Linked DNA regions of Arabidopsis thaliana. The protein of the gene in region 4 interacts with the protein of the main gene of each other region in a pairwise test. Each region holds a gene or a part of one and is shown on either strand. Other genes may lie near its edges. The genes, in order: MUB6, MUB4, ATGP4 and UBC29.

Region 1 (7,815 bases), on a different chromosome or scaffold from region 4:
TTGTTGTTAGAGAACTTTGATTTGCAGAAATCTCAAGTGGAACTTTTGGAGAAGATGGTAGCTGAGCTGGAATCTGAAAAGTCTTTTCAACGTTTGGAGTACGTTAGAAATGCTCATCGAGAGTCTTCTTTCATAGAAGAACTGTTTCAGTGTCTAATGGCTGCAGATGTTCAGCTTATTTTTACAAAGATCCAGTCTGATATCTGTATCAATGAGTTTGCAGAACAACTTAGCTGCTGCTCTAATAGCCACCTTGAGTTTCAGAAGAAGTACACTGATGTGGAATCTGCCCTTAACCATTGTCTAGTCAACGAAACGCGGTATATGGACGAAAACAATCAGTTATTGATTAATCTTGAAGTCTTAAAGTCTGAGCTAGAGTCTTCCATGGCTAAAAGTAGAGCTCTTGCTGATAGAAATGATGAAATGTCAGCTGAACTCGAAGAGCACGCAACTAGGGATGAGAATGCAGAAAGAAGTTACTCTGAGAGAAGCTTATGTGCTCCTGAGGTCGAGCAATTAAAATCTTTGCTGTTTGGGTATGAAGAAGAAATAGAAAATTTGACGGTGTTAAAAGCGGAGGCGGAAATTACAGTTGAGATACTAAAAGATAAACTAACTGGGCTTTGTGGGAAAGGTGCCAGTGAGCTTGAAACACTGAAAAATAGGTGCAGTGATCTCACTCAGAAGCTCTCTGAGCAGATTTTGAAAACAGAAGAGTTCAAAAGCATGTCCAATCATTTGAAAGAGCTTAAGGACAATGCTGAAGCAGAATGCAATCGTGCTCGTGAAAAGGCCGACTACAAAGCCCCGCTAACTCCACAGCAGGAGTCGTTGAGAATCATTTTCATCAAAGAACAGTATGACACCAAGCTGCAGGAACTTCAATATCAACTGACCATGTCCAAGAAGCATGGTGAGGAAATTCTGATGAAATTACAAGATGCCATTGATGAGAATGAAGCAAGGAAAAAGGCAGAATCCAGCCAATTAAAGAGATCTAAAGAGCTGGAGGGAAAAATATTGGAACTGGAGGCTGATCGACAATCTGTTATCTATGATAAACGTGAGAAAACCACGGCTTATGACATGATGAAGGCAGAGCTGGATTGCTCATTATTAAGCCTTGAGTGCTGCAAAGAAGAAAAACAGAAGCTTGAAGCTATTCTGCAACAATGCAAAGAGCAGAGTTTGAAAATGTCCAAAGAGCTAGAATCAAGGAGAGGATTAGTACAACGTTGCAGCTCTCAGAAAAATATTGAGATGGAAGAAAATGATAGATTAAATAGTGAGGTGTCAGAGTTGGCTGACAAAAATACAATTGCAGTCTCTTCAGGCGACTCGGTGAACAACGGGCAAAGGGAAGTTGCTTGTATTGATCCTACAGTGCGGATCATCAGTCCCAGGTCGATAATTCAGGTAACCCTCAGTTAGATTGCGTTTGCATTAGCATTTATTTGGAAGTTAAGAATATTCAAGTTCATGGTATCATAGAAGTTAAAACGAGTTCTGTTCCAACCCTAAACTTCTGCTGCATCTTCTTTATGAAATGTTATGCAAAACTAGTTTACGTGATTTAATCAAGCTGGTAATGACTAGGCTACTACGTATGTCGATGTTTTCTGTAAATAGTTCTCTAGTTAGATATTAAGGATGTTATTTCCTGTGCTCGACGGGTAAAAAAAGGTGCTATAAGGAATTTCTTATTTTAATGTATGTTCATCAGGGTACTATTCAATCGAGCAGTGTAAATGGAAACAGAGACCAATTACCTTCCGGAGAAGCAATGGCGCTGGACAAACGTGAAGAAAGCCTAGCTTTGATCAATGATAAATTCAGGGCAGAGACTTTAAGGTCTAGCATGGATCACCTAAACGATGAGGTAATACTGGATTAAGGGTTAAAATTACTAGTTAAATTAATTGGAAATGTTAATATCAGTGACTTAGTTTGGATTGGATGGCAATTCTGAATTACAATATCTACATGATGGTAATTATCTACAGAAAGATTTTGCCTAGCGTCATTGGGTCTTTTTTCTGTCTTCTTTACAGCTAGAACGGATGAAGAATGAGAATCTACTTGAACCTCAAGATGATAATGATTCAGACACCAGATTTCCGGGTTTGGAACAGGAGCTGATGCAGTTGCGTCAGGTGCTGATGTTTACCTTTTAGAGATTGTAATGAATTGAAGCATAAGTGTCTGTAGAAGTCTTATGATCTTGTTTTCGACAGGCAAAGGAAGAACTTCAGAGTATCTTCCCTCTATCTCAAGAGAATTTCAGTTGCGGAAACGCATTGGAAAGGGTTCTTGCACTGGAAATAGAACTCGCTGAAGCATTGCGTGGAAAGAAAAAATCAACCACCCATTTCCAGAGGTACACGATTCAAAAATTCTGCTATTAATTTTCGCCTTTGTAACTATACTAGACCACGTTGAACTTATTATTCCTTTTTGCCTGAAATTGCAGCTCTTTCTTGAAGCAACACACCGATGACGAAGCAATCTTCCAGAGTTTCAGAGACATAAACAATCTAATTGAAGAAATGTTGGATACCAAAGGCCGGTATTCGTCTATGGAGACAGAGCTTAGGGAAATGCATGACCGTTATTCTCAGCTAAGCCTCAAGTTTGCAGAGGTTGAAGGAGAGAGACAAAAGCTGATGATGACTCTGAAGAACGTTAGGGCATCAAAGAAGGCTATGCTCTTGAACCGTTCATCATCAGCAACTCTTGGTGAACATTAATGCACAGATGTTACTTACCATGTATATAAAGTTCCAAGAATGTTGAAGAAGTCCAAGTTCCAAGAGTGGTCTCGAGTTATAGATAGCTTAATATAATTGTTGTTTATTCGAGTCTCAAGATATGGGGTTTTTAAAGTGATGTGTTCTCTGTGTTGTATAGAAACCCCATATTCTTTAATTCAAAAAATGAGAAGTTTAGTTGAGAATAAGAACATACATAAGGACAATACCATTCTTGTTATTTACTGTTGTATTGAACATATTGTATATATTTATAAAAGAACCAACCTTCAAGAATCATAGTACATTTTCTCAAGCCATTTTGATTTTTAAAAAATAATAATTAAAAACCACACACATGGAACCAAATTCTGTAATGAAGATCTTTTGTTTTCATGCCTATGCCAATCATTCTGTACTGAAGGAACTTCTCAAAGCTTGTTTGATGCCATGGAAGTTGTTCCGTGGAGCATCATCTAGTGCCATGATCATGACGGATATAAATCTCTATGATCCAATTTACTTGCAGCTACAAAATGGTGCACACGCAGCGATTCTTCATCGGTGGATCATTCTGCAGTTTTTCTGTGGAACAGAAAATTTTCATATAATGAGATGATATGAACATGATCTCAAAGCCATAGTTAACGAGTACAGAATTCAAGGGAACATGTTGTTACACTGCGATAAACAGTATAACAAGGTAGAGAAAATTACCGCTCTTTTTGTCTAACGTAGGAAGGCGAAGAACAATATGCATAGTAATGATCATTCCAGGAAGTTCACAAACAGGAAGCCTGGATTCAGCAAGTGTCCTATTGTTCTCCAGTATTTTCCCGGCATTGATGAGCTTCATATCATTTACAGTTTTTGGAGTATTTTCTTTATCTGTGAAACAGAGAAACATTGAAAATGCAATTATAAAACAACCTTAAGTAGAGAAAGTAAATGCAACATAAGATTCAATAAGGCCAAGAAACACCAAACACCTAAACCAAAAAAATCCAGGCAAAAACAATACAATTTGAGACATCAATCTTATACTAGTTTTAGCCAAAATCAGTAACTAGAGTGATCTTAACACAACAACAACTAAACCTTTCACACTATAAAACTATAATTATCTATTAAAGCCTCATACTTTACAAAGTTCAACACCTAGACTAGCCCAAAAAAGTTCATCATACATTCAAATCATTGCAGAAAGAAGACAAATTTAATACAATCAAACCCAATGGAGAGTAAAAAGAAATACATGAAGCAATGAATCAAATGAGACTCAACCATCAAAACCGTGAAAAGCTGTAGAAAGAAGCAAAAGCATAACTATAAGTATAAAATACCTTTAGGCCATTGAGAAATGAGTTTCTCTTTAAGAGAAGAAACAGTCATAGATTGATTATACTTGCTTGGACCTATGTCTGTACCATCTGCTAGTCTAAACTTTAGTTCTATCCAATCTTCTTCACCTGCCATCTCTTTTCAATTTCCCCCAGAAAACAAAAAACCCCAACAACAAAAAAAATCTCTAAAAAGAGAAACTTCAAAATTCTTCTCTGGAGAAAATCATCGAACACTTTTGCAGGATTATTCACCAACCCAATTACAAAAACCCAAAAAAGAAAGAAAAAAACAACACAAACCCAAATCAATTCTCGTGGAAAGAAATTTAGGAAGAAGAAAAGAGAGACACTTTGGTTTTGGTTACAAAGGCTGTCTTTGAGCAGACATAACACAAATTGGGAAACTTTCAGATTCTTTTTTATTTTCGTAATCCTACCTGAATCCTCAATTTGACGTTTTTACCCCTACACAATATCATCAATAAAGCTGACTTTTGATTATTTAGTGACTTACTAATCAAAAATATAGACTTGTGAATTAACTTTAGATTGTTCGATAGTGATATTGTATTAGTCAAAAACTCTGGCCATGTTGTACAATATCAATATTGAACAAGTGGATTTCAATAATTTTGATTCCTATTAAGTGGGTATTGATACTTTCCCTTTTGATATTGAACTCTTTAACAACCATTAATTTCTTTTAATTAAAGAAATTTATTTCTTGTGTTTTGGATTCCTCTATTATTTTATAGGATTCTTGTTTTAATATGTTGGCATATATGCCAAAATTATATGGTAAGAGGGGCATTTCTGGAATTTAGGATTAGCATAAACACACAAAGAAACATATTGTAATTTCGAATGTGTTAGAAAATGGCAGCCACCAACTATATAAGCCTAACTACTTTAACTAATTAAAGATTGTGTTTAATTACACAAATCGATTATTTTCCGTGGGGTTTTAAGACATGAGGAACAATCTAGTGAGTAATCTTGATTGGTAATTAAATGAAATAATTGAAATTTTGGTCTAATTAATGCTTTAACATTTGGATTCGATTTGGTTCGAAAGAAAAAATGTTACCGAGGTATAACTAAAATTCCTTCACTTTCAAGTAATGAATCTAATTGTATACACCAACTTACAAGTAAAACATTCGAAGAAAAAAAAATAGATATAATCGGTTTTTGTTCAAGTGGAAATCATTTAAAATGAGAATTAGTTTGGTTCCAAATGGTTGAAATTCAAATGTTCAAGTTCAACCATAAAAAATTTCCTCCTAAACACCAACCAAATATTATTATGAAGAAAAATTCGTTCGTGCATGCCACAAAAAGAACCGATACACCCTTTGGATGGAATAATTAACAGGCTAGTGATACTTTGATATTCATGAAAAGAAGACTATTTCCTTCACATCAGATTAAAGTACTAAAACAAATGTCAAAAATTAATCATAGAATAGATTCGTTGAAATAAATCAAAAGCAACAACTTTCATATAAAAATCAAAGAAGATAAAAAGAAAAGAGGTGAAGTGTGAAATGAGAATCTAGAAACGGTTTGCTTTATGAGCATATGATTCGTTCTAAATTCTTAAGGCATCAATTATACATATCATTCTTGTCTTCTTACTTTCTTTAGGTCCACCATTGTAGTCGAAGCAAGAAACTAATCAAGAGAGCTACATAATTCAGTGCAAGGAAGAGAGATTCTAAACCGAACCGAATATTTCCGGTTTAGATTCAATTCAAGAAATGTGATCCCTGGTTGAGATGGATTAACCAAAAAAGGAGGAAGTTTCAATACCTTTTTGTGTTAGACTGTTTTAATTGCCTGAATCACATACACACCATAAGTTGCAAATTTTACCTGAAACTTTATTTCTTTTACAAGTTTCTCTATTACCAACTACAGAAATATGTATGCAGAAGCATACTGATGTTACATATTCAGAACTTCTGCAATTGTACTGCTAGGTAATGTACTGCTATAGTATATTTGCGCATGTCAAAAATTTCGATACAACAGTCGCATTATTATATATTTGTCACACAACATTTTATTACTCAAGCTTACTTTGGCAGCCAAATGCCAGAAGAATATATCATCGAAGAATTAGACGATAAAATCTTTGGGAGAACATCTCATAAGCTTCATGTTTTTGCTTCTGGCTGTACACAGAGATTCTTAATGGCCCACGAGAAATGGGCAAAGCTTCTGATGACTTTATATATCTATAACTTGGCAGCTAACAAGTTCAGCAGCACCAAAGTCCTTGGTTGCAATGAGTTTCCATGTAACAGTGTCTGACTTGTTAGGTGCATTGGTCTTTAAGTGTGGGATTGAAACAGAACTGGAGCTAGATGATGATGAGGAGACTGGGATGTTGGGGACATCAGCTCGTAAGACTGTAACGTTATGATTAGGGTCTCTAGTAATGAAATGAAGCTTGCCATGAAACCCAGCAAGCAAATAAGGAGATTCTGAATCTGTTAAGTCATACACAGGGACTTCCCCAATAACAACCTTCCAAGTATCTTCCTTTTGATCATACACTTTAATCTTTCCGTTCTCCATCGAAGAAGAAGGATCAAAAGCGTATAACTCACCATCCACCACAACACTCAGTTTTGTACCTGCTTGCCTCGCAGGCCAACCTTCACCCATACCAGACGGCATTTCAACCCAGAGATTTGTCTCGGGATCATAAACCTCTCCTCCAACATCAACAAAGAAAGGCCAAGAGTATAAACTCTGAGGAACACATAACCTACCGTTGTAGCAAGTCATTCCTGTGGCAATAGGCTTTAGTAAGTCAGCCAAAAACGCATTTGGCAACACTTGCGCCTTTGAGAAAGGCATGCTCGGAACCTCTGACCAAGCATCCGTGCTTGGATCATAAACCTCAGCTGACTGAAGAGGAGATAAACCTCCCCGTCCCCGATCAACCCCTCCAACAACATATAGTTTCTTATTCAATACACCTGTTTTGGAATAAGCCCGACTCGCCAACATAGAACTAACTTCACTCCAAGAGTTCAAAATCGGATCAAACCGCCAAACACAGCTCACTGTTTTAGACCTAGAAAGTCCACCAATAACATAAAGACCCCCATCAACAGCACCAATAGCGCACCCACAAAACGGCATTTGCTCAGAGGAGTCCCTCCTACCTAGAAAGCTCCTCACAATCGCACCAACATTAAAGCTCGGTGTAATCATATTCCACAAACCAGATAAACTCTTTCTAGACTCTTCTTCATAAACAACAACCGGCATTGGAGGCAATCTCTGCCATTTAGTAGACACAGGATCTAAAGCATACCACAAAAGCTTATCCTCATGACCTTTAGTCAACACATAGAGCCACTCCTCAGTCCTCCCAAGTTCTTTCCTCAAACTATACACCTCAGAAGTCGAAACAGCCGATCTCCACCTCCGAGAAACCAACCGAACACTCGAGTAACAAATTCTAGGAAGCCTAGCAAGAATCTGTATAGATAACTCATCAGGAAGACTTGGAATCAATCTACAACACTCTTCTTCATCGTTCTCTGAAGATATCTTTCGTCTTTTACGAGATTCGCTTGAACACTCAACGTCCTGACTCGTTGCTTTCCTCTTGGAACAGCTCAAACTCATAACAGAACCCATTATTGATGAAATCAAGAAGAGTCACTGCAACAAATCATAAATTTCCCAACAATTAGGCGTAA
Region 2 (8,537 bases), on a different chromosome or scaffold from region 4:
TCCAGCTTCTGCTGTTTTCCCTAGAACATAACCATGTCTACAAAATTGCTCCGGAGGCAGCTCACGGATCGCTGAAGCTCCTATAAACCACAATAACCACATCGACATTGATTCATCGTAAACACCTCCGCTTATATAAGAGTCGATTCAAAAACAAAATATCTCACCATTGATTTGAAAATGGCGATGGATAACATCTCGAACTCTGAGACTTTGATCTACGAAACCACCATCGAATTCGCTTCCCATTTCTTCTACCGTCGCGCAGAGTTTAGCTCCATCGACCATAGCCTCTCCAATCGAAGAAGAGTTGCTCCATCTCGAAGCCTCCTCGGATTCGGACTCGTCATCGTCGTCGTCGATGAAAGACGAATTAGGATCTACGGAACGGAGCGTGAGCAACAACAAACCAAAACCGATGAAGAAAACCACAGATGATAAGAGAATCGTCTTCCCGAACAACCGCTTCCGTCTTGTTCCACCGCGTTTCATCTCTTCCTCATCGTTTCTTTTCTCCGAAACTCGAACAAGTGTAGAGTTTCTTACATCAGAGCTTTGGATGCGATTGACACGGTGCCGTTTTGGATTCGTTCGTGTCGGTGGCCGTTAAACTACGTCAAACGGTATCGTATTAACACTAAACTGGGCCTAACTAACTATATCTATTAAAAGCCCATCAAGTTGGTAGGCGTCGTTTTCTGTTTTTGGTGCACTGGTGGTGGTTCATCCACATGACCACATCTAAATATAATCATCATTTTAATAAAATTACAAAGAAAACTAATCTTTTCGTATAAGAAGATATTCATTTGAGGAAATTTAAAACCCCCCAAACCAATAACACAATATTTTAATAAGAATGTAAAAATCCGTAACCCAAGAATAGTTGAATCTCAAAATTATAGTTGTTTCAACTTAGCCTATTTAACTTCAAATTATAGTTGTTTCAACTAGACTATTTTGGTGAATCATGTACAAGTTATCTTATATATTATTGTTTGTAATAATATACATCCAATATATTAAAAACTTATAGTTGTTTTAATCATTAAAATTTTTAAATTTTCTAGAATTAAAAACTTAGGGCTAAATCACTATAATATAATTGAGTTACTCTCTAATATACACTTTTTGTATGTCACCATTGACGTATCCATGAGTTTATCTAAGTAGTAAGAAGATTGAATTTCATTTTAAGTTTTATTTGTTAGTTAAACAATGTTTTTTTGTGTAGTTTAACATAACATCTCAACGAAAATTTAACTCTAAAAATTTGTTTTGTTAGTCAACTTAACTACGTGACATATTGGGTAAAGTCAACAAAATGAGCGATTAAAAATGCGAAGTCAATTAAAAATATGATTAAAATAAAAAGTTAATGAAAATTAGCGCATTATTTTACTCGAGATAAAGTTAAAACTTTTTATGCTATTTTTTACAATTAAAGATTTTTTTGACATTTTCTCCAAATATACGTATGCGTAAACTTATGACGACATAACTAGATGCAACTTTATTTATATATTATAAATCAATAAAATATTTACACAGATTGATATACTAAATTTGCTGTAGAAATATGAATTATCAGTCTAACGAAAACAGGTGACCTGGTAACTCGTGCTTTAAAACTAGTAACAGTCGTGCAATTTTTCCGGACGTTTTAGGAGAAATTGTGTAAATTTGTTCGTAAAATTTTGGTGTGTTTTCTAGCATTCGCCAAAATTTTCCTCTGTTCATTACGTTGTGAAATAAAAAGTGATTCATTTTCCTTATTTTTCATACTAATAGTTTACAGCATACGAAATAAAAATTCAAATTTTGTTTTTAACCAAAGCCAATGGTCGAGAACAAGACGAAAGACATATATATATATTTGAGTAGAAAGCAAACAGAGAGTTTCAATAATAGTGAATGATAATTTGTAGTTCTAAAAACCTTATTTCTTGCCACACAAGGCAAGATCCCTCTTGAACGGTCTGAAATTCAAAGCATTGAATCCATAAACACAGGAATTAGACTGTTGAGACTTAAACAAGACCTGATCCGTAGTGGTTCTATAACCAGGAATGTTGCAAGAAGAATCGGAGAAGTTTTTTCTTCCAATCAAACTCGCTTGACAAGAACTCGCGAGACTGTCCACATCAGCACAATCTAGAGAAGATATGGCTACCTTGTACAGTCCAAACTCGTTGGTGGTTCTGTTTGCAGAGAATGTTATAGTCTCTGTCGTTGTTGACGAAGCTGCTTTGAATCGGCAGACTATCCTCACTTCCACACCTGTGTAAAGAAACGTTAAGAAACAGAGTTTTTGCAGGGAATTAATTAAAGAGATCTTTTTGTTCTGAGTTACTACCGGACATGAAGTAACTGTGTTTAGAGAAACTGTTTTTGGAGCAAACATCGCAGTAAACAAAACCCATTATAGTGATTTCTGCATCTGGTTTTGGTTTGGGTGATGAATGCTTTGAAGATAGAGAGTTTACGAGCAGAAATTGCAGAAGTATAAAAAGAAACATTGTCAGTGATTTCTTCGTCATCTTAAGCACAACAAGTTTCAAGTTTGGTTTATTTGATATTTATGTAAGAATTGGAGAATATGTGTGTGAAGAAAGAAGAAATATAGGGAACTAGTTTTCAGACAAGAATAGAACTCTCTTGAAAGAGCTTCGTGGTTCCTTTCTATATATAGAGAGAGTTATACAAACGTGTCTTTTAAAAATAGGCTTGGATACGAAACGGATATTTTTACTATTCATTTTGTTTTTCATAGTTACAATATTCGAATCGGATTAAAGTAAATACCATATCGAAGAGAAAGTGATGGGAGTACAAAGAAAGGTGCATTTGGAGTGAAGATTATAAATGAGAGCCAGAGGAGAGGAATAGAATTAAAGGCGAAACAAGACAAGATAGTGGAGAGACACTAAGTGAAAGTGAAGGTTATAAATGAGAGAATTAAGTGGGAGACAGTGATAAGTTAGGTGAAAGGACATTTATTGAGATCTCATGCTCTCTGTTTCTTTTGGAGGTTTGTATCTACCTACATCCCCAAAACATTGGCTTTGTGGAAGTGGAAAATGATGAGAAAGGTATGGACCATATAGTAACATATCAAAGTGTTTGCCACTCAAGAACCAAACTGCAAACGTTTAGTACTCGTTTTCACTGTAGGTAATGGACTGGATAAAGATGTTTGGATACAGTTTTGGGCGGATCCTGATAGAGAAAAAAACCAGGTCTAAAATGTACTAAAGATTGACAAAACCATACAAGATATGTTACAGAGATACTTGAATTAGTTCGCGGTAACAAAACTCTTATCTTTATAAAGGATGCTCCAAACAAGAGTTTTTCCATCACAGCTCAAGAGAAACAACTCTAATAGACTAGCTTTATAACGCCATAGATGAAGGTTTCTTTGAACTTGTGAAGAAAATGTCGAATATGAAGCGGTAGTTTATGTTTATATGGTCTTTTAGCAAATACCACAGAGAATCAAAACTTAACTCTTTCAGATTTTTTGACTTGGGACTTGTTGTTGTTCTCACATTATGGTACATGAGCAAAAGCTTCTCTGTGGGGCTTCTTCCTTTTCGATTTTTTTCTCTGTAAGAGAAAGAAAAAACAAGATATTAGGCTAAAGAATTCATTCCACAAACAAGATTTACGGAGATAAGAAAGAACAAGACCTGGTCTTGCTTTTGTTGGAGACAGTTGCACGACAACATGCATTGTAATGACGGATTTAGGGAGATCATCAAATGGAGCTTTACACTGTGCAACAGTTTTACCATTCTCCAAAATCTTACCAGCATTTATCAACTTGATGTCACTAGCTGATTTTGGAACAATCTTCTTGTCTACACACATTCAAAACCCCCAAATTCGATTAGTCAATAAGATACAATAGGAAACAAAATGAGACAAATTCAATTTTTTGTTGAATGCACAAGACTGAAGAGTAAGATCAAGAAATTCTACTAAAAAGAACCAGAACAGTATTCGTCCCTATAGTCTCTAAAGACATGATTTGTAGTATAAGACAAGTGATTAGTAATACAATCAGACCAATTCAAAAGCCTATACCACAAGTGGAGAAACTGTTAAAACATAGATCACAAGATCGAGTAACCTTTTAAAAGATCAATAGTTTAACTTCCTTCTTCTGTTCCTACTTTAAGACAAATGATTAGTAAGTCAATCAGATCCTATGACTTATGTCTGAACTTTGTCTATCAAGCCACAAGTGAAGAAACTGAAGAAAAAAAAAAATGGCTGAAGCAAACGTTCTAAAGCCAAATCTAAAGCATTAAAGAGCACTTCTATCGCATTTTTACTTCTTTTTCACGGATTAGCCGAAAAACAAACCAAAAGATTGTGCTCGGTGCTAACCTTTAGGCCATTCAGAGACAATTCTCTCCTTAAGCATTGACACTGTGGCGGTTGGAGAGTACTGAAACGGGCCAACATCTGAACCGTCATATAACCGGAATTTCAGTTCTACCAAATCTTCCTCCGGCATTTGATTATCTCTTTCTCCCAATACAAAACTCTCACAAGAAAGATTTCACCAGAAAGAATCCACCCAAATGAGACCTATAATAATAAGAGGACAGAGAGATTCTCAAATTCAAAGCATCAATGAAATTGTCGAAGCAAAGAACAAAAATATTTAGAGAAGACTAGTAATAAGAGCACAGTCAAACTTAAAGGAATCAATTAGGAAATTTTCAGTTACTGTCCAAATCAAGAACTTGGACCAAAGGAACAAGAAGAACAATAAGCAAAAGAAAAATAAAAACTTGGAACTCATCTAAGCAACCTAAGCTCCTAAACCGTCAGATAAAGTTACCACAACACACAAATCTTACCCGGACTAGAGACACTCAATCCAAATGTCCAAGTTTGCTAGGTTTTGAGTCTTGGGAATGAAGAGAATCAAGAAAGTAGGAGAGAAACCCTTAAAAGGGTAAATGACCTAATCTCAAAGTGAAGCTGGTAAAATCCAGCTAAGAGATTGCTGCTATGTGATTCTATCAAAGTTTCTGATATGTCTTTCGTCAGGATTGCCGCGTTACAGGGAATCCCTGACGAGTAAGGAAATAAGATAAAAAGACAAGAAAATTGTGGAAAAGTATGTTTCTTTATTAGTCAAAAGCAAAGCCTTGTCGGCGTTTTGACCAGAAGACTTTAAAAGACGAGCAACAAATCACTTTGGTCCAAATCTGACTTCCATGTAAATTTCAAAGAGAGGAACAAGAAAATTTGAAAATCTATAGAATCTTCCAACAATAGTAAAATCTCAGAGCAAAACAAAGGATTTTTATGATATGTTTACAGAGTTGAAACCTTGGATTAGACGCACAATTAGAAAGCATACAAAGCACATTTTAAGAACATAAAATCCTAATTATCAAAAGCCCATTGAAACTATATTTAACAAAAAAAAACCAAAAAAAAAAGTGAACTTTTTGCTATATGAACCCCTACGAACAGATTTACACTACTGGCGAGTGACAGGTGTAATAGGCACAGATGAGTTAATGCCATAGAAACCATCTTGTCCCTGAAACTTCTGGTATGAATTCTCCGATGGAGCAGAGGTTGTTGAAAGTTGAGTGAGCCCAGGTACCCAAGGACCTTGTTCTTGTTGTTGTTGCTGAGTGGTTGCAGTAGAGGTTGCTATGGTGTAGTTGAATGGTGTGTGGTTTACTGGCCCGGGAGGCTGTAACGGCTGCAAAAACTGAGGTTGAAGCTGGAATGGTGGTGGTGGTGGAAGCGGTTGTGGGGGTGTGGAGGATGATGTTGTTGCAGTGTTCTGATGGTGCGGTGAGAGATACGACTGGTCATGATTTTGAAGCTTAGGTCTTTTCTCTGGTGGGAAATCGACGGATGATAGAGTTTCTGTTACAGCAGGTGGGTTGTTGTTTCCGATGATGCCTTCGGAGGCTAAGGAGGAGAGAACATAGGAGAGCATCTCGGCTGAGGAAGTTGAAGCAGTTAGCTTAGCTACCACTGCAGCAGCAGCAGTTTTTCTTGGGTCTTCCAGCGATTGAGTTGGGTTTGAGGCAAACATAACTGGTGCAGATTGTTCCACATCGCTGTGTGTGAAGCTTTGTGGTGCTGCTGCAGTGGATGAAACTTTGATAACTTCTTTTGACTCTTCTTCTTCTGTAGCAGGAGGCTGTGAACTACCACCATGGTCTAGAAGCTGTCTGCAGAGATCACCAGTTCGGTCTGATTGAAACCGAGCAATCTGAAATCGTAGCACAAATGAAATCAATTCAACTAAATAGCATAAAGACAAGGCAACATTCTGTTTGGAAAGGCAACCAAGAACCCTAATTAGATTTGGGTCTATCTTCCTTGAACAAATTCACTAAACAAGCTTGAAGCTAGACCAGCATGTCTCGGAAAGTACTATTGAGAACGTTATGATGTATTGTGTAAATTGAAATGTATAAAATGTCTGAGGAACAAATATCACATTTGTTGGTAAGTATTCAAACCTGAAGGTGGTTACGGACTTGCTCCAGCTTGAGTTCCTGGACACAAAAACAAAAACAAGGTGAGGTTTCTGGCCGGTGCAATGAAAGATGTTGTTTTGAAAGAAAATGTATAAATGTAAACCTGTTCTTGTAAAGCTTCTCTCAAATGTGAGATAAGACTTGTTCTGGATGTCTCCATTGCCCCTAGCTGTTCGATGCAGTCTCTCAATATGACATGTTGTCCCTGCAACTCCTTCACCACCGCTGGCCCAGGGGCGTGTCCTATTTAAAGCAATGCTCAAGAAGTAAGATAGTGAAAACAACTTCAAATGGATGCTTGAACAAGAATTGGATCTTCTCTATCCTACAAGTAAAGAAGTGTAATATATCTACAAGCAGTTAATATAAAGACCAGTCCCAGTAATCAGAAATGTAGTGACAAAAATTAGGGATCCAAAATTAACCAAAATGTGTAGCACTGGTTATTCTCGTTGCGGATTGGGGGTAAGTGCTCTTATCATTAAATGATTTGACACAAAGATATGCTGAATATTCCTATCAAATGGTAAGAGCCACCATGTTTAAAAGATGATTTTGGCAAAAACTATTTGGAAAAATGAGAGAGGAGCATCATGGAAGTAAGAATTGGAAGCGTGGTAGTGGTTTAAGATCACACATAGACCAGATACGAGATTGTTACGCAAATTTTAAGATTTCGGTTCAGATACAAAGGGTGTGTGGTTAAAGATAGACCAAACAGCTGAGTTCTTAAAACAAACGAATGTAGAAAACTGAAGCTATGTCGCTTGTCACTTGATAAGAAAAAAGCATATCAATACATTTGCAGTAATGTAGCAGCCAATGGACGGTGATACCTGAACTAAGATCTCTTTCAACCTCTTGTGTTGCTTTCTCAAGGTAACCAGCAGCATTAGTAGATTTTCCAACAAGAGCATCCTCATCAATCTGAACGCCGTGAAGAACTTCAACAGCAGACACTACTTTCTCCAGTGTGGATCCATTTACCTGTCTCTGAGGAACAGACTGCAGAAATGACAGAGTTGATTATGTGGTTAGCATGGAAGAACTCGAAAGTAGAAATTATCACATAACAGTGGACCGTACTGAGACATACTGGTACGAAATTGCTTGTACAACAAACTCTGACTTACAAGCTTAAGTGGCACGAGATTTCCGTTTCTGGTTCCATTTTCAGGCTGTCTTCCCAGAAGTTCTTCTTTGAGAATTTGTCCACGGGATCCAAAAACTTTCCTTTCTTCCCATATATTAACCTTGAAGAAATAATTACGATAATTAGCAATGCAGTTTTCTTGTCAAATTCTTTAAATCACATCAATAAGTGGCATTTCTATGTTCTCTAAAATCTCAAACAAAGAGAAATTCAGAGAGAGTGGTAGATAAAAAGTTAACTTCACGTACCAATCGGCGTGCGGATTTTCTTCCAAAGTCATCACCATTTTCAATCATATCACGAAGAGCATCAGGGAGTACTTTCCAGAACTCACCTACAAACTCCGAACCCTTTCGCCTGCTATTCTGCAAGATATCATTCGCGAGGTACAAGTATGCCAAACGTTGCTCACGTGGGGCACAGTGAAACTGCCTACCCCATGTTTCTACAACATGTTTTGCTTTGTTCATGTGAAAGATACACCAATGTGATAAAGCTGTATAACGTCAAGGAAAACATACACCATAATAGTATACAAGGCGAGAGAAAAACAACACATCACATGAGACTAATCAAAGGGAAACTAATTTACAATAAAAGCAAGTTGGGAGAGTTGAGAAAATTATCCGTGTATATCAGACACCAATATCACTGAAACTCAAAATTGGTATAAACTACAGCTCAAGTAAAAGAAAATCCTGAGGAATTTAGATATATTCTGCTTGAGAAGAGATACCAATACTTTCATCTTATACCATTGTTACTCATTAACTTAGATACCAATTCTGTATAGTCTTTTCCAAGCACCTATTTAAGTACTTAAACAATGAAATTACAGAGCTTTACTACAACCA
Region 3 (8,331 bases), on a different chromosome or scaffold from region 4:
TACTATATCATTGTTCTTATAAGTGCATATCAAATTTAACTTTGTTATCTTTACCTATATGTATTTTTGTAGGTAACATCATATCGTTCATCGTTTTCTTGGCACCAGTGTAAGCATCATCGATCTCAAACGTACACTTCTATTTTTATTTGCTTTCTCTTAACAAAGAAAAATGTTTTGGACATTATTTTCAGGCCAACTTTTGTAAGAATCTGCAAGAAAAAATCGATAGAAGGTTTTGAATCACTTCCCTACGTGTCAGCCCTCTTTAGCGCGATGCTATGGATTTACTATGCTCTGCAAAAAGATGGAGCAGGCTTCCTTCTCATTACCATAAACGCTGTGGGATGCTTCATCGAAACCATCTACATCATCCTCTTCATCACCTATGCTAACAAGAAAGCTAGAGTACGTTTAAACCATCCCATTTCTTTTGGTATATTAAAACATGCACTCATACATACAGGTTTAGCTGATGATGATAAACCATGTAGATATCAACTTTGAAGGTTCTTGGGCTCTTGAATTTCTTGGGTTTTGCTGCTATTATTCTCGTCTGCGAGCTCCTAACCAAAGGATCGAACCGTGAGAAAGTCCTTGGAGGGATTTGCGTCGGATTTTCTGTTTGTGTTTTCGCAGCTCCTTTGAGCATCATGGTACGTACATACTTATGTGACATGTATCACACGCACTCAGAAAAAAGAAATGTTTGTCTATCTAAAAAGAGCCATGCTAATTCATATAGAGAATATAATATACTCTAAAATCAAAGAAACTAATATTTGTCTTTCCTTTTCCGGTAATAGCATCTCTTTATGTTTACGTATATTATATAGTTCTCTAACATGTGAAATTGTATAAAATGATGACGCAGAGAGTGGTGATACGAACAAAGAGTGTGGAGTTTATGCCTTTCTCTCTATCATTGTTTCTTACAATCAGCGCCATTACGTGGCTCTTCTACGGTCTTGCTATTAAAGACTTCTACGTTGCGGTGAGTCTCTCTTTTTTTCTTATATTATATGTGAATCTTTTTCTTTAGTATATGAAAATGGACAGCTCAAACATAGTATCATATATTATTATGTGTGGTTTATGTTAAAGGCAAAAGAGTTTCCACCACCTTTTGTCTCTTTGCCCAAATTCCATCTATTTAAAGACGACGAATGAATGATTTGAGCCGTACGCTACTTTTGCTTTATGCTTACAATCATATATTATATGATCACGTAAAAGAAACCGAGAGTACAATTATATAAAGTTTTTTAGGTTGTCGGCGATTAATAGGATTACTGTTCCCTATCAAAAAATGATTAGTGGGATTGTTACTGATGATGTGATTACTTTTTTATGATTTGAAGCTTCCAAATATATTGGGTGCGTTTCTCGGAGCAGTCCAAATGATTCTATACGTCATATTCAAGTACTACAAAACTCCACTAGTGGTTGATGAGACAGAGAAGCCCAAAACGGTGTCGGATCATTCCATCAACATGGTCAAGCTTTCATCTACTCCGGCTTCTGGTGATCTTACGGTTCAGCCGCAGACTAATCCTGACGTGAGTCATCCTATTAAAACTCATGGTGGTGACTTAGAGGACCAGATGGACAAGAAAATGCCAAACTAAGTCAAGATTTAGTTTTCAATTATGAATTAGTGATTGACTTTAATGTTGAACTGTTGAGTCTGGTTTCCTAATTTGTCTTTTATTTTCTCATCATCTTCTTTCGAAATATCTCGAAATTGTACTATCCTTCAAAAATTTATGTGCGTCGTTTAGAATTTTGTAAAATAGTTTTTGATGCCTCTGTTCTCAGTAATACTTAAAAGTTTATTAGTCCGGCTAATTAAAAAGGAAATGAAAATTCAAAGTAAGTTAGATAAACATGATCATTCACAGGTCAGATGTTTTAAAAAAAAATCATTATGGTGTACATCACATGTAGACAATACTTCAGAATTCATCTGGACTACCAGAATTGAGTTACCTAGTACTTCTCAATTCTATTTTACCCTAACGTCTAATAAATAACAAGTACTCTAGCCTCTTCGTTTTATGATTCCTCTAGGAAAAGTTAATGTTACGGCCCAATCACTTTTTTTAACAGCCCAAACAACATATATTAGCTCCAAATATCATTTTTTCCCCTAGAATATTCTCAACCTATTGTCCACTCAAAACGTGACAAATGGAGGTCTAAAGGGAGACCATACTTGACTCATTTTAGAGCTAGGATCAGACAGAGTAGATTTTTTGCCATAACTCCTTGTAAATGTATTCACATTTCATTCCCAAGAAAAATAGACTGATGAAGAAATATATCAGATATGACAAGGCCGTGTCGTTTAGGTTACGTAACTCTACAAGGTTTAGGGTCTCAATATAAACACACAAAGCAGATAGAAGAAGCAAACCATTCACAATCAGACAATGACATCTCTCCATACGTTACTCTTCTCTTCTCTTCTTTTCTTCATCGTCTTTCCAACCTTCACGTTTTCCTCCACCTTATTGTTTCAGGTTCGTCTTTAGTTTTGCTTCTTTACATACACAGACTCTACACACTCACTTATTGGGTTTCTTTCAATTGTGAAACAGAGTTTCAATTGGGAGTCATGGAAGAAAGAAGGAGGATTCTACAATTCTCTCCACAACTCCATTGACGACATAGCCAACGCTGGAATCACTCATCTTTGGCTTCCTCCTCCTTCTCAATCCGTTGCTCCTGAAGGTTCCATTTCTGCTTTACTCTTTACACATTCACATACCAATCTTGTTACTCACGCAATCTTCATTCCTCAGGTTACTTACCGGGAAAGCTATACGATCTAAACAGCTCCAAATACGGTTCAGAGGCGGAACTGAAATCGTTAATCAAAGCGTTGAATCAAAAAGGAATAAAAGCTTTGGCTGATATAGTGATTAACCACAGAACAGCTGAGAGGAAAGACGATAAATGTGGATACTGTTATTTCGAAGGTGGGACTTCCGATGATCGTCTTGATTGGGATCCTTCCTTTGTCTGCCGCAATGACCCTAAATTTCCCGGTACCGGAAACCTCGACACCGGAGGAGATTTTGATGGAGCGCCCGACATCGACCACCTTAACCCTAGAGTTCAGAAAGAGTTGTCCGAATGGATGAATTGGCTTAAAACTGAAATCGGATTCCATGGTTGGAGATTTGATTATGTTCGAGGTTATGCATCTTCCATCACCAAATTATACGTTCAGGTAAATCACATATGAATTCTCAAATATCAGACAACAGTATTAGTATATAAGAAACATAGGTTGAGATAATTATTTACTATTAGTATATATAAGTATCATAGGTTGATAGGGTTATTTACTACTATTTAGTATATAAGAAACATAAGTCAATGCAATCAATAAGAAATATATAAGAAAGTTCACTACTGATTATGTGATAAATTCCTCTGTTTTTGGATACACAGAATACATCACCGGATTTTGCGGTGGGTGAGAAATGGGACGATATGAAGTACGGAGGAGACGGGAAACTAGACTATGATCAGAACGAGCATCGGTCGGGTCTCAAACAGTGGATCGAGGAAGCGGGTGGTGGTGTGTTGACAGCTTTTGATTTCACCACCAAAGGGATCTTACAGTCTGCTGTCAAAGGTGAGCTTTGGAGACTAAAGGACTCGCAGGGAAAACCGCCTGGTATGATAGGAATCATGCCCGGAAACGCTGTCACATTCATAGATAACCATGATACATTCAGAACGTGGGTTTTCCCTTCTGATAAAGTCTTGCTTGGATACGTTTATATACTTACTCATCCAGGAACTCCTTGCATTGTAAGTATCATTTTAGTATGTAGCTATACTATTTACAACTACAATCTTGTTGATATGTTATTTTTGTTGCAGTTTTATAATCATTACATAGAATGGGGACTAAAAGAGAGCATCTCAAAGCTGGTGGCTATCAGGAACAAAAATGGGATTGGTAGCACAAGCTCTGTAACGATAAAAGCGGCAGAGGCGGATCTCTACTTGGCTATGATTGATGATAAAGTTATCATGAAGATTGGACCAAAGCAAGATGTGGGAACACTTGTTCCTTCTAATTTTGCTTTAGCTTATTCAGGCCTTGACTTTGCTGTCTGGGAGAAGAAGTAACGCATAACTCGAATCATAAGAAAAGTAATCGAATGTATCTTCTTCCTTTTTAATAAAACATTTTGGCAGTATCTAAAGATATGTATAATGAAATATAAAATGATAAAGAATACCTAAATAAAAAGAGCACTAGTGGTGTTAAAGGATACAACTCCAGTGAAAGAAAAGAGTTCAAGTGAAGAAGTGTCAACTTGTAGAAATAAGTATTGGAAAGTTTCCATCGTTTTGTTTTGTTGCATACAACTAATATATTATATATTGGCCGACTCGTATAAGATTTGGAGCCCTACTAAAATCAGAATTATGATGTCTTAACCACACAATACTGCCAAAATCAGAACGAATTATATTATTGTAGAAGAAGAAAAAAAAAGTATGGTGGGAAGTGGGAACAGTTAGACAGGTAAATTCGAATAAAACGACAGCGTTTTTGGCTAGGACAATAAAAGTTGAAGACGTCGGCTTGAGAAGAAGTAGAAGTGACGACGAAAAGAAAGGGGAAAAAAAAAAGGAAGGAAAAAAGTGAAAACCGTCGGCTTGAGAAGGAACTTTGATATTTGGTGACTCTTGAAAAAAGCAAGCTCTTTCTTCTTCCTTCTTTCGCTTTTTTCACACCTCAAAATCAAAGATCCGAAACACGATTTCGGAGGAAGCTTCGATTCTGTGTGTTTGATTCTTCCTCTTTTTTGTTTTTTGTTTTTTTGTTCTATCCCGTTTCGAAGCGAGCTCTGATTCTCGTTCCTGTCTACTTTTTTTCAGACCTATTTTCAGATCTGAAATAGTTGTGTTTGAGAAGCGGGATTGGTGATCGGAGCTGGAATTTGGTTGGTAATCGGAGGTCAGAGAGAAGTCAACGGATATGCCGGAGGAAGAATCGATAGATATCAAATTCAGGTTGTACGATGGCTCCGATATCGGGCCTTTTCGGTATTCTGCGGCTTCTACTGTTGACTTTTTGAAGCAGAGGGTCGTCTCTGATTGGCCCAAAGGTTAGTTTTAAGGTTTTTTGAATCGGTGCCCCTTTTTCCCCAATCTGATCCTGGTTTTATTCATGATCTTCCCACGAATTTCGTGTTGATTGTCACTGAATCCTGCAATTGTCGGTAGAAATTCGAAATTTAGAGCTGTAGATGAATTATTATTAGCTCATTTGAGATGTTATAAGCTTGATGTATGAGAAAAGCCAAGTCTCTGTGATTTGAGGTTGATCCAAGCATCAATTTTTTTGTGGTTTTGGTTAGGCAAAACAGTTGTTCCAAAGGGGATAAACGAAGTGAAGCTGATAAGCTCGGGTAAGATCTTGGAGAACAACAAGACTGTTGGGCAGTGTAAGACACCATTTGGAGATATTGCTGGTGGAGTCATTGTGATGCATGTTGTTGTACAGCCTTCTCTAGCTAAATCCAAAACAGGTAGTTGTTTGTCTATGTGTAATGTTCTTCATGTCTTTTATATCAGAGAATTCCCGTTTCATGGAGATATATGTGTCCTTAGAGGTTCCTCAATCTTTCATTAGTCTTGTGGTATTTATCTTGTCAACTGTATGGATTATGGTATTCATTTATCTGGCTCAACTTTACGTCTTATAATATCTAGCTCTAGTCATACTTATATTAATTGAGGCTGGTAAGATTTCGTAAGAGTGTTCATGCACATCAGAAAGTTAGTCGGTGACTAAGATCAGTACATTCTTTTTCTTTCTAACAGCCTATGGTACTGACTCAATCAACCTATCAGGTGATTAGTGGTTTTGTCTAAATTTGGTTTGTTTGTCTTGAGAGAGAGTAAAGGATACCCTAGAATTCATTCCTAGGTTTCTGGTGTGTTCTTTGTGTGAAATAAAGCAAAAATCAGCTCTAAGCTTAGCAAAGCATGCCATGAGGAAAGGAATACCTGAATTCATTATTGGTCGTCATCTCCTTGTAAACCCCACTGAAAACTTTTGCCAGTCTTTGAGATTTGTCTGCATAATTTGTTTTTTCACAAACTTGAGAAAGTCGTGGAAAGTGAGTTTGTGATTACTAAGACGTTTGTTGATGAAAGCTAACTAACAGTTGAATACTGGTTTTTGATTAAACAGAGAAGAAGGTTGATAAAGCACCAAAGGCAGTAATCTGCACATGCACCATTTTGTGAAGGGAGGAAGACCAATGTATCTATCATACACATCGTTTCAATTCTTCCGGTACAGAAGAAAACAAAATCAAAAAAAGAAAGCTAAAAGTAAAGTAAAGCTTCCCTTTAAGCTGTGGAGTTATTTATCATCTTTGAATGTGTAGAAAATGAACTATAAATTCTTTTCAAGTAACTCTTTGTCCCTTATTTGTTTTTTCTTCTTACTTTCCCAATGTATGGAAGCTGTATAGGTTACTAGGTCCATTACGTTACGTGTGATGAAGATAATTATATATCTATCTATTTTTAAAAAAGATTGTGCCTTTGTATTTTTCGTTCTTCCTTTCACACCGTTTTAGTATAGGTGAATTTGCGAAATGGCCAAATTCTGGCTGGCCCGTAAATGTAATTAATGAATTCATGAACTCTGAACATCACTTCGAACAGAAAATTCATCTCTTTTTGTTTTAGGTTGGGAAAAGGTAAGAGGATGGAGTTGCGGTTCCGATCAGACAGACAGGAAGAGTAGTGATGGATGAAGGCGACGTAGTCTCGAACAGAGGCATGATGTAATAACACATGATATATGACACAAGTCATAACCTAGCTACTTATAAATACCAACATAAACTAAAAAAAGTCATAACAATGGTATGTACTTATCTACATTAAAAAAAAAAAGAATTGCAGAAAGATGGCAATATGAAACTAAATTGAATCAAACACATGTACTACAAACAATAGTTAAAAATATCAAAACACAAGTAAAACAACCTAGTTTTAACATTTAAAACGAGGAGAAAAAAAACCAAAAAAGGGAGCCAAGCTTTATGCGTGGCGCTAAAAAGATTGGGCTGTTGATGGATAAATTATGATAGGGCCCAATGGAAAAAGAGAGCTGTCGGTAAACCCTAGACACGAAAGCCGGTGACGAATCGTCCGGTCAATCTGAGTAGTATAAGCGTATACGACATGTATAAGTAGCTAACTACGGTATTTATACTGTATGAGTTGGTAGTTAAAGAGTCATAATGACGTTAATGTCATATTACCAAAACAAGGAGCTTGGAGATAAACAAGCGTAAAAACCACACACTATAATAGCATTAAAGTAAAAACGAGCTGGAAGCATTTTCTTTAGAATATTTTCTTCCTGCACCTCCTCCTCCATTGACGAACACCACTGAGACCACACTTTTAAATTTTATTTTATTTTTAAAGAAGAAGAAGAAAAAGACGAAGAAGAAGTGCAACCAGGAATTGCAACCAACCTCATCCGATGGATAGATAAATATATTCGTAATCAGATCTGGACAATTCAATCAACCGAGGACAGACGCTACGACAGTCGACAAAGGCTGGTTTGCTTCACGAGACTAAGCTGCTTTCAGTACTCAGTTCCTCAGGTAAAAGCTTTGTGTTCTATTTTTATTTTCCTAGGCAATGGTTTTTAAGTAATTTCTACTAAAAACTTAAGAAAAACGGATCTAAAACGTTTTTTTTTTTTTTTTTGAATATAATTTAACCAAAAAAAAAAGACGTAGAAGAAGAAGAAGCCATGATCATAACATCCTACCAGTAGTTGCGGCTGTTTCAATTCAGATTGGTTTATCCATAATGTCGGTCATTGCAAAGTATGCTCTAGATTACGGGCTTTCTCCGAGAATCTTTGTTGCTGCGCGTCTGGTTATTGCATTTTCAATTCTATCACCCCTTGCTTTAGTATTTGAGAGGTACCAACCATAACTTATTGTATGTTTTCTCTGTTTTTTTTGTTGTTTTGTTTTGTTTCTGGTGCTAATAATAATCTCAAATCTATAGGAATACAAGACCTGACTAAAAGAATCTTTGCTCAGATAGTTATCATGAGCATTTTCGAGTAAGTTACTTATAGTTTGTATGAATCATCACATTCATCAATATATTAGAGGTTTAATCAAATGTTTTCTTACAGGCCACTATTGGAGCAAAACTTGTACTATACAGGCATGCAGCTCACAACGCCCACTTTCACTTCCGGAATGTTCAACCTACTCCCGGCCATTACATTTGTGATGGCCTGTATAT
Region 4 (7,356 bases):
AGGCTGGCCCCAGAGAAGTGCCTTCTTGCACAAGTTAAGGGCGTTGTGAAGATGCTTTAGATGACCGTACTTAGGCTCCCTTTCCAGTCCTTTGTATTAAAAAAAGGGCAAATGAGAACATACATATTAATCTGTAACTCGATTTTATTCATTCACAACGATCATATGCTATATGTTTTGTTTTAGTTTTACCGAATTCATCAAGAGGTGCATCGTCGTAGTAACGAGTTGTCACATAATGTGCAGAGGTTCTTCCAAAGTTAGTACCTCCGTGATACTATAAGAAAAACAAATATTTAACAACATTCTTGAAACGTTACATATAAATCTCTTTTTTATTCGGTATTCGATCACTTACCATATAGTAGTTAACATGGGTTCCATTCTTGGAGAAAAACCGGGCAACAGAATATGCTATATCTTCTACAGATCTTTGTGCTGGGGGATCGCCAAAAACGCGGAACCTAGAATCAAATTATAAGTCATTGTCGTTTGTTTCATCAAGAACATACTAATTAAGGTGTTCAAGTGAAAAGCTCACTGAGTAGTCCAGTTCTCTGTCCATAAAGATGGCTTGTTGTCTTTGTTTGGACCAGGGAATGTATCACCGCAATGTCTTCCGTTACAAGCGTTGATCTGTATCAAAACAAATTAAGTTCTTGATTTAACCTTTTATGATTATGTTTTTATAGTGAACGTGTTATAAAATATGACTTACCATAGGATCAGGAGCATCATTTTGCTTACACATAACCCATGGGATCCCCAAATCCATCGAGTGTACCAGTTTAGATGCCCACTTAATGTAGTTTAATCCATCTTCTTTATATGCTCGTTGAACCGCACTATACTCATTCTCAATCTGAATCCAAACGCCAATTTTAAAAAAATCTTTCAAAACTTTTATGATTCATATCTTAAAAATGTGTTTGTTGTTTTTATTAATCTTTATCTTTTTGTCAATGTTACCTGTCCTAATATAATGGGGCCTCCTTGTGAAGCAAAAAGCTTCTCCTCCTTCATCATGTCAAGTACCACCTTAACATATCTCTCTGTATGTTCCTACAATCAATAGTTTTCTCCAAATTATTTAATTGTTCCAACATATCACACACATATCTTACATATGCATAGCCATATGTGAAAACTAATAATCATACCTTGAAAGGTTCATTATCGGTACGGAAGAAGATCCCGGGAACTTCCCTCAGCCAGTAAGGAAGTCCTCTGATGTTTCATTATAACCATAAGCATTAAACATGTCACATATGTAAAAGAATTTTATCTCAATTTGGAGGAATCAGACAATGTAACAAATAAACATACCCATGAGTCCATTCAGCTTGAATAAAAGGTCCAAGCCTCAAGGTTACATACAAACCATTCTTCTCAATTAATTTTATGAACTTCACCAAGTCGGCTCTACCCGAAAAATTGAACTGTCCCAACAACAAAATAAAAAACTCTTCAAAACAGTGATTTAATCTTTTCTAAAGGTTTTTGTTTGTTAATATTTCAAATTACCTTTCCCTGCTCAGGCTCATGAACGTTCCAAAAAACGTATGTCTGAATCGTGTTCAAACCGCCTTGTTTCGCTCTCTTGATGATGTTTGGCCACATCTGAGCAAAACCCACATCACATATTCTCAAAAATGTAAGTAAAACAAAATTTAAAGATAAAACAACTTTAACTAACGAGTGTATGAATCATTTACTTCAGGAGTGCTACGAGGGTAATGTATGGAGCCAGAGTAAAGGAGTTCTCTATTTCCATTGATGATCAAAGACGTTCCATCATAAGTTACTTCTTTCTTTTTATCGACCGATTTCGTCTTCTTCTCTTTGTCATCGCTTGAGAGAGCTCCAGAGAAGGAGAGGAGAATCACGAGAACGGCTAGTAAAAGCCATGAATGATCAGAAGAATGTATTTTCATTTGACTATCTTCTTCTTCTTCTTCTTCTTCTTGAGGATTTTTAAATTTAAACAAGAATCCACCTAAAGGGATATCTTCCTTGTCAGAGAAATAAAAACTTTAGAGAAAGAAAATGAAATAAGAGAATGTTTCGCAGAGAACATAAGGTTTCAGAGAAATTCACGTATTCTCAATTTGAGATTCCACATTTTGTTTGTAAATAAAACTTCCAATAACTCTCCCTTTTATTTCCTTATTTCCTCCTTTCATTTTGTTTTCGTTGAATTTTCTAATTTTAAGGTTTTTGGTTGAAGAGCCTAATTTGGCGGGTATACACACAATGACTTCTCTCAATCACCACCAAAAAGAAATGTGAGCCAATGCTTATGTTGAGAAGGTGCGTATTACACCAAAAAAAAATGGTTCATACGAAACCAATGATTTTATTTTATTTTATTATGTTCATTATAAACACCACTTTTGGTTCTTCTTTAATTGTGGAAATGTGGATTAAATCCATGAGAGATCTAACAAAAATTTGTGTAACCTGTTATCTAGTTATTATTCTTTGTCTACAAGTTGAGTAAATTTTTTTGCTGTAATTTGGATTATCATCGTTTAAACCTTTAGCTTATTTCTAACTTTAAATATCATAACGGCAAAAATTGTAAAAGCTTTGGTATGCTTCTTTTACGTAAAATACATAAATGTGTTGACCGTGTGGTTGAAGATTGAAAGCAAAGCAAACAACATTTGTTACAAAAAAAATGGCTATTTTTTTAAGTAATCAATTAATCGTCTTTTAAAAAATCGAGACCAACTATTGTTGAGAATTATTTTCCTCCCGTAATCACCATCATAAAATATCGGTTGGGCAAATCACGTAGCATGCATGTACATTAACTTTGGACTAACAGCTGTGGAGTTTCTTCTTATAGCAATATTCAAAAGACCTAATAAGTCTGAAATAAACAGAGGCTTGAAGGTTATACTTAGATTGAAAGGCAATGATTTACATTTACATATATAGGTTGATCAATGACGATCTCTACGATATGTTGTGATATAAATCTTTAAAATAAGGAAATAATATATGCATCACTGATTTGTGGAGTGTTCCTCACTCGACGCCACTCTGATTTGTAAATTTTTTATTGTAAAATTTTAAAGTATGTAAATAGGGCCTATAATTTTTTTTCCTAATGATACATGGGCCTATAATCTTAAGAAACTTTTGAAATGGGTCCTATAAGTTTTCAATAACTATTTTACCTCATCAAATGTATGTTATGATTTATGATTATATTTGTTGAACATGATGCTCATCACCCATCACTTTGCTGGTCCAGTGAACGTGGACAATAAGATTAAGAACAAAGGATATTGTAATAACCATTCTTTATGTTAAGTTATTCTGATTCTCAGACTTTATCAAATCCCATTATAGACCGTTCAATAGATATGGTATATTACAGTAAGCATGTACGTAAGACCATCCACTTCAAGGCACGTCTCTCTTTCAGAATCAGAACAAAAGAATGGATCTTTCTCCATTACCTTTATGGGCAAAGCGGGCGGCTAAAAAGAGACTTTACAATGGTAAATCTTTACTTAAACAATGATAAATGCAATAGTGCAAGCATTCCTGTTTGCAAGAGAATCACAAATCTTTGCTTACGGTTCACGCTTTAAAAACACAACTCTCATTCTCCTTCTCTTCACAAACCACTCATATTTTTTTTCACATACTTCTTTGTAGTGCTACTTTCCATTATATCAAACACTCAGCAACCTGATGGCAACGAGACGGATATTGAAAGAATTGAAGGAGTTGCAAAGAGACCCTCCTGTATCATGCAGTGCAGGTAAAGGATCACAATTTGTTCTTAATACAATATAAGCCATGTATCAGAAATTTTTTCTAAAGATTTTGATATTTCCTTTCTCCTTGGTTTGGGATTTTTAGGTCCAACAGGAGAAGATATGTTCCACTGGCAAGCTACTATAATGGGTCCGAATGAAAGTCCTTACTCCGGAGGTGTTTTCCTTGTCAATATTCATTTCCCTCCTGATTATCCTTTTAAACCTCCCAAGGTAACAACTTTCTCAACAATTTTTTTGTTTTTTAATCTACTTCTTAAATCCAATAACCAAAAGGCACAAAACCAACATTAAATATTGGATCGTTTATGATCTTTTGGAACCTTAAGTTTTGATCTTTATTTTCAATCTTTTTCTTCTTCTTTACTCTTGTTGTTATGTTTGTTTGATAAAATCAGGTTGTATTCAGAACCAAAGTGTTTCACCCAAACATCAACAGTAATGGAAACATATGTTTGGACATTCTCAAAGACCAATGGAGCCCTGCCCTTACCATTTCTAAGGTTTGAAATTCTATATATGTATTTAGTTATTTGTCAATATTTTCTATAATTCCATATATCAGATTTGGTATATAACCAAGAAGCTCCAATAGGTAACACAAATTACTAACATTTTGGTATTATAGGTGCTTCTCTCTATATGCTCTCTTCTAACAGATCCAAACCCTGACGACCCTCTGGTGCCAGAGATAGCTCACATATACAAAACTGACAAGACCAAATATGAAGCCATGGCTCGAAGCTGGACCCAGAAGTATGCCTTGTTTTAAAGCTCACAATTCCTCTTTTTTTCCTTTTTATTTTGGTTTGGTCTTATTTGTAATAAAAAAAGAAGAAGAAGAAATTGTTATAATTTTAATACAAACATATATAATATATAAAGTAGAGTTTTCAAAGTTGTTAACTCATATGATTGATGAGATATCGACATGTATTAAATCTAATTTTGTTAATATATAAAAAATCTTCTAACCCTATCGGGAAAATAAAATATATACATAAATCACAAAAATTATTTATATAATCAAAAAATTTAATTATATTTTATATAATAAAATAATTCATATTATTAGCGAATTTGTTTTTTTTAAAGGACCGTTCAAATATGTTTTTTTGTGTATTTTGTCGAAATTTTTGTTATTTTTCTTTTTATTTTGTTAAAATAACTCTAAAATATAGATTTCAAACAACACATAAAATAGTGAGATGCATAGATAAAGGTTATAATGGGAAAACTCAATAGTATCAAAGATAAATGAGAATTAATTATAGTCATGTTTGTGTAAAAAATTTAGGACAAGTTACTAATATTTAAAGTTTAAGCCTAGTTATTTAGTAAACAACAAAAATAACTTACGTTATCTAACGATATTTTTGGAGAATAGATAGATTGAAATAAGAGTTAGAACACTAAATATTGAAAACGTGTGTGGGTTACTATTTAAAATTTAAATATCATAAAGAATTAAAACACGAAGATGAAATATGTAGAAATATTTTTTCAGCTCTTATCCATTAAAATGAAATATATAGAATTAAAATTCAGTATATTTTCATGAAATATATAGTTAAATTATTGCAAAATAGAATGGATAAAATTAAATTTTGGTTTTAAAATATTTAGATAAAATGAAAAAGTGTACATTGCTATTAGAATTCAATTATTATTTGAAAAATTATATATGTTTTTTATATTCGCCTATTTAAACGGGGTTTATCTAATATATATATATATATATATATATATATATATATATATATATATATATATGATCTTATAAAGAAATAATTAAAAGATAGAGAGGAATGGACGAGAAAGCAACATGACAGTTCTCTCTTATTAACTTTCACTCCTCTTCTTCTTATTAATACTGAGATCCACCAGAAAAGGGTTATTGCTATTGATTGATGAAGATGATCCATTGCTTTACGAGTACGATTATAACTTCTAAGCTTTTTTATATGGTTTCCCATAGATATTCTTAGCTTTAACTGACCAAGGTAGTTATATGTTGTAGTCGGAATAGCCATTAATATCTCAGGTGCATCGCAGCACTGTAAACGCCTTGCAAGCCTGGACAGGTGGACAGTCATGGTCTAGAAGAAGATCATGTTCATAGCTTTTTTGGAGACTTTGGCTTTTATAGAAATCAAGGAATAAGAAAGTATTTTAAAGTATAGAGGCTTTAGGTATTTTAAGTCATGCTAGAAGTGAACAATTGGCATGGGAGGCTGCTCAATTGAATCTTGTAGGAGAGATAAAGGAAAGAGAAGTACTTCCAATGTTTTCTCCAATAATTTTGTGCCAGACGAGTTGTTTTTAGGAAGATGCAAAAGTAGTACTTTTAAGGCAAAATGTCACAGGAGGAGGAGTCTCTCACCGATTCACTTGGAAATGGAAGCCTTATTATATGAGCCATGAATAATAATATCCTATCAAGACGGATAAATTATCAGCTTTTTGAAATACATTGTGTAGAACTTGTCTTAATAGTGGAATTCCTTGAGAATTAAACCATTTTCTCTAATCTTTTCGATGAATTTGCTTCGAGTTAAGTTTTTTATTTATTTTCAAAGCTAATTATTTCTCGTTCTTGTAACTTCAAGTTGATTGTTTAGCCAAGACCTCATAAACCTTTACTTTCAGAAGTTTCTTATGTACACACTCTTTCTCCTAATTGGATTACCAATCAAAAAGTGAATTTTTAACTAGTACAAGATTGAAAAAAGAAACATTTATATAATATCCGTTTAGATTGAAAGAATTTTTCTTTTGTTAATCTTTATCTCTTTTTTATATTTCGATATAAGCCGTTTCTCGGAAAATTAAAAATTCTAAGCCGTTTATATGGCCATAAGTAATGAGGCAGCTCTAAGCCCGAAATAGCCGGTGGCCACACATATTCACTTGGGACTTGGCCCTTTTAAAACACCTAATTTCATGCCTTTTCCCGCTAAACTTGCCACTTTCTCCTAACCAACTCATTTCTTCATATAAAACCAACAACATCACACAAAAAGAGCCCTCATTTATTCACCTTTCTTTTCCCTTAAATATAATCTTTATAAAAAAAATTAAAAATTAAAAAAAGGAAGTAAATTGAAAAAACAAAATTGGTCCCCTGTCTTCTTTTGTTCACTGGACCCTTTTCTTGGCTTCGCTAAATCATACTATCTCTATCTTCTCACCGACACTTTCTTCTTCTTTGATCATATCATATTTATCTTCACTACAAAAAAAACAAGTAAAATAAAGCCAATCTTCTTAAATATCTCCAGAAGATCTATCAGCATTTACGTATTCAGGTCCTCCAATGTAAGTTTCTTTTTTACTTTCTTATTCTATTTGTGTCAATCTGGTTTCATTAGTCGTGGCAGCTGGGCAGGTACAAATGCTGATGGCACATGGCATCAAAACTATCAATTTATTTATGTCCTAAAGACAAAATTTAATGATAAAATACAAAGGATTTAGGTGATACTATGTTGTCTCTTAATGCTCATCGTGTATCTCTTAAAAATCCAAAATCTTCTTATTTTCCTTATATTTAATTAAATGT

What was found.
Region 1: the proteins of UBC29 (region 4) and MUB6 interact in a two-hybrid assay, tested with the Arabidopsis thaliana proteins (one study listed by BioGRID).
Region 2: the proteins of UBC29 (region 4) and MUB4 interact in a two-hybrid assay, tested with the Arabidopsis thaliana proteins (one study listed by BioGRID).
Region 3: the proteins of UBC29 (region 4) and ATGP4 interact in a two-hybrid assay, tested with the Arabidopsis thaliana proteins (one study listed by BioGRID).

Annotation. Positions count from the first base shown.
Region 1 is NC_003070.9:7,768,308-7,776,122, reverse strand, and holds MUB6 (membrane-anchored ubiquitin-fold protein 6 precursor), read right to left. Parts: upstream 4,465-7,815; 5' UTR 4,227-4,464; coding exon 4,094-4,226; intron 3,991-4,093; exon of another isoform or gene 3,639-3,990; coding exon 3,468-3,638; intron 3,336-3,467; coding exon 3,280-3,335; 3' UTR 2,969-3,279; downstream 1-2,968. Other genes in the region: AT1G22060 (sporulation-specific protein), read left to right, coding at 1-1,419, 1,727-1,882, 2,055-2,156, 2,238-2,380, 2,474-2,750; AT1G22040 (Galactose oxidase/kelch repeat superfamily protein), read right to left, coding at 6,326-7,753. UniProt on the Arabidopsis thaliana protein: May serve as docking site to facilitate the association of other proteins to the plasma membrane.
Region 2 is NC_003074.8:9,942,920-9,951,456, forward strand, and holds MUB4 (membrane-anchored ubiquitin-fold protein 4 precursor), read right to left. Parts: upstream 5,166-8,537; 5' UTR 4,875-5,165; intron 4,600-4,874; 5' UTR 4,526-4,599; coding exon 4,396-4,525; intron 3,864-4,395; coding exon 3,693-3,863; intron 3,610-3,692; coding exon 3,548-3,609; 3' UTR 2,837-3,547; downstream 1-2,836. Other genes in the region: AT3G26950 (uncharacterized protein), read right to left, coding at 1-80, 168-492; AT3G26960 (Pollen Ole e 1 allergen and extensin family protein), read right to left, coding at 1,940-2,280, 2,357-2,540; AT3G26990 (ENTH/VHS family protein), read right to left, coding at 5,507-6,259, 6,513-6,548, 6,634-6,773, 7,367-7,535, 7,664-7,783, 7,932-8,179. UniProt on the Arabidopsis thaliana protein: May serve as docking site to facilitate the association of other proteins to the plasma membrane.
Region 3 is NC_003075.7:12,847,927-12,856,257, reverse strand, and holds ATGP4 (Ubiquitin family protein), read left to right. Parts: upstream 1-4,447; 5' UTR 4,448-4,812; exon of another isoform or gene 4,813-4,908; 5' UTR 4,909-5,008; coding exon 5,009-5,138; intron 5,139-5,390; coding exon 5,391-5,561; intron 5,562-6,229; coding exon 6,230-6,285; 3' UTR 6,286-6,607; downstream 6,608-8,331. Other genes in the region: SWEET14 (Nodulin MtN3 family protein), read left to right, coding at 73-109, 195-408, 495-656, 875-994, 1,362-1,628; AMY1 (alpha-amylase-like protein), read left to right, coding at 2,433-2,522, 2,601-2,733, 2,805-3,235, 3,460-3,825, 3,898-4,149; UMAMIT16-psi (nodulin MtN21 /EamA-like transporter family protein), read left to right, coding at 7,882-7,997, 8,219-8,331. UniProt on the Arabidopsis thaliana protein: May serve as docking site to facilitate the association of other proteins to the plasma membrane.
Region 4 is NC_003071.7:7,264,172-7,271,527, forward strand, and holds UBC29 (ubiquitin-conjugating enzyme 29), read left to right. Parts: upstream 1-3,550; 5' UTR 3,551-3,708; coding exon 3,709-3,778; intron 3,779-3,879; coding exon 3,880-4,007; intron 4,008-4,192; coding exon 4,193-4,297; intron 4,298-4,422; coding exon 4,423-4,566; 3' UTR 4,567-4,884; downstream 4,885-7,356. Other genes in the region: AT2G16730 (glycosyl hydrolase family 35 protein), read right to left, coding at 1-89, 193-277, 359-464, 542-636, 719-862, 970-1,062, 1,161-1,227, 1,327-1,439 and 2 more. UniProt on the Arabidopsis thaliana protein: Accepts the ubiquitin from the E1 complex and catalyzes its covalent attachment to other proteins.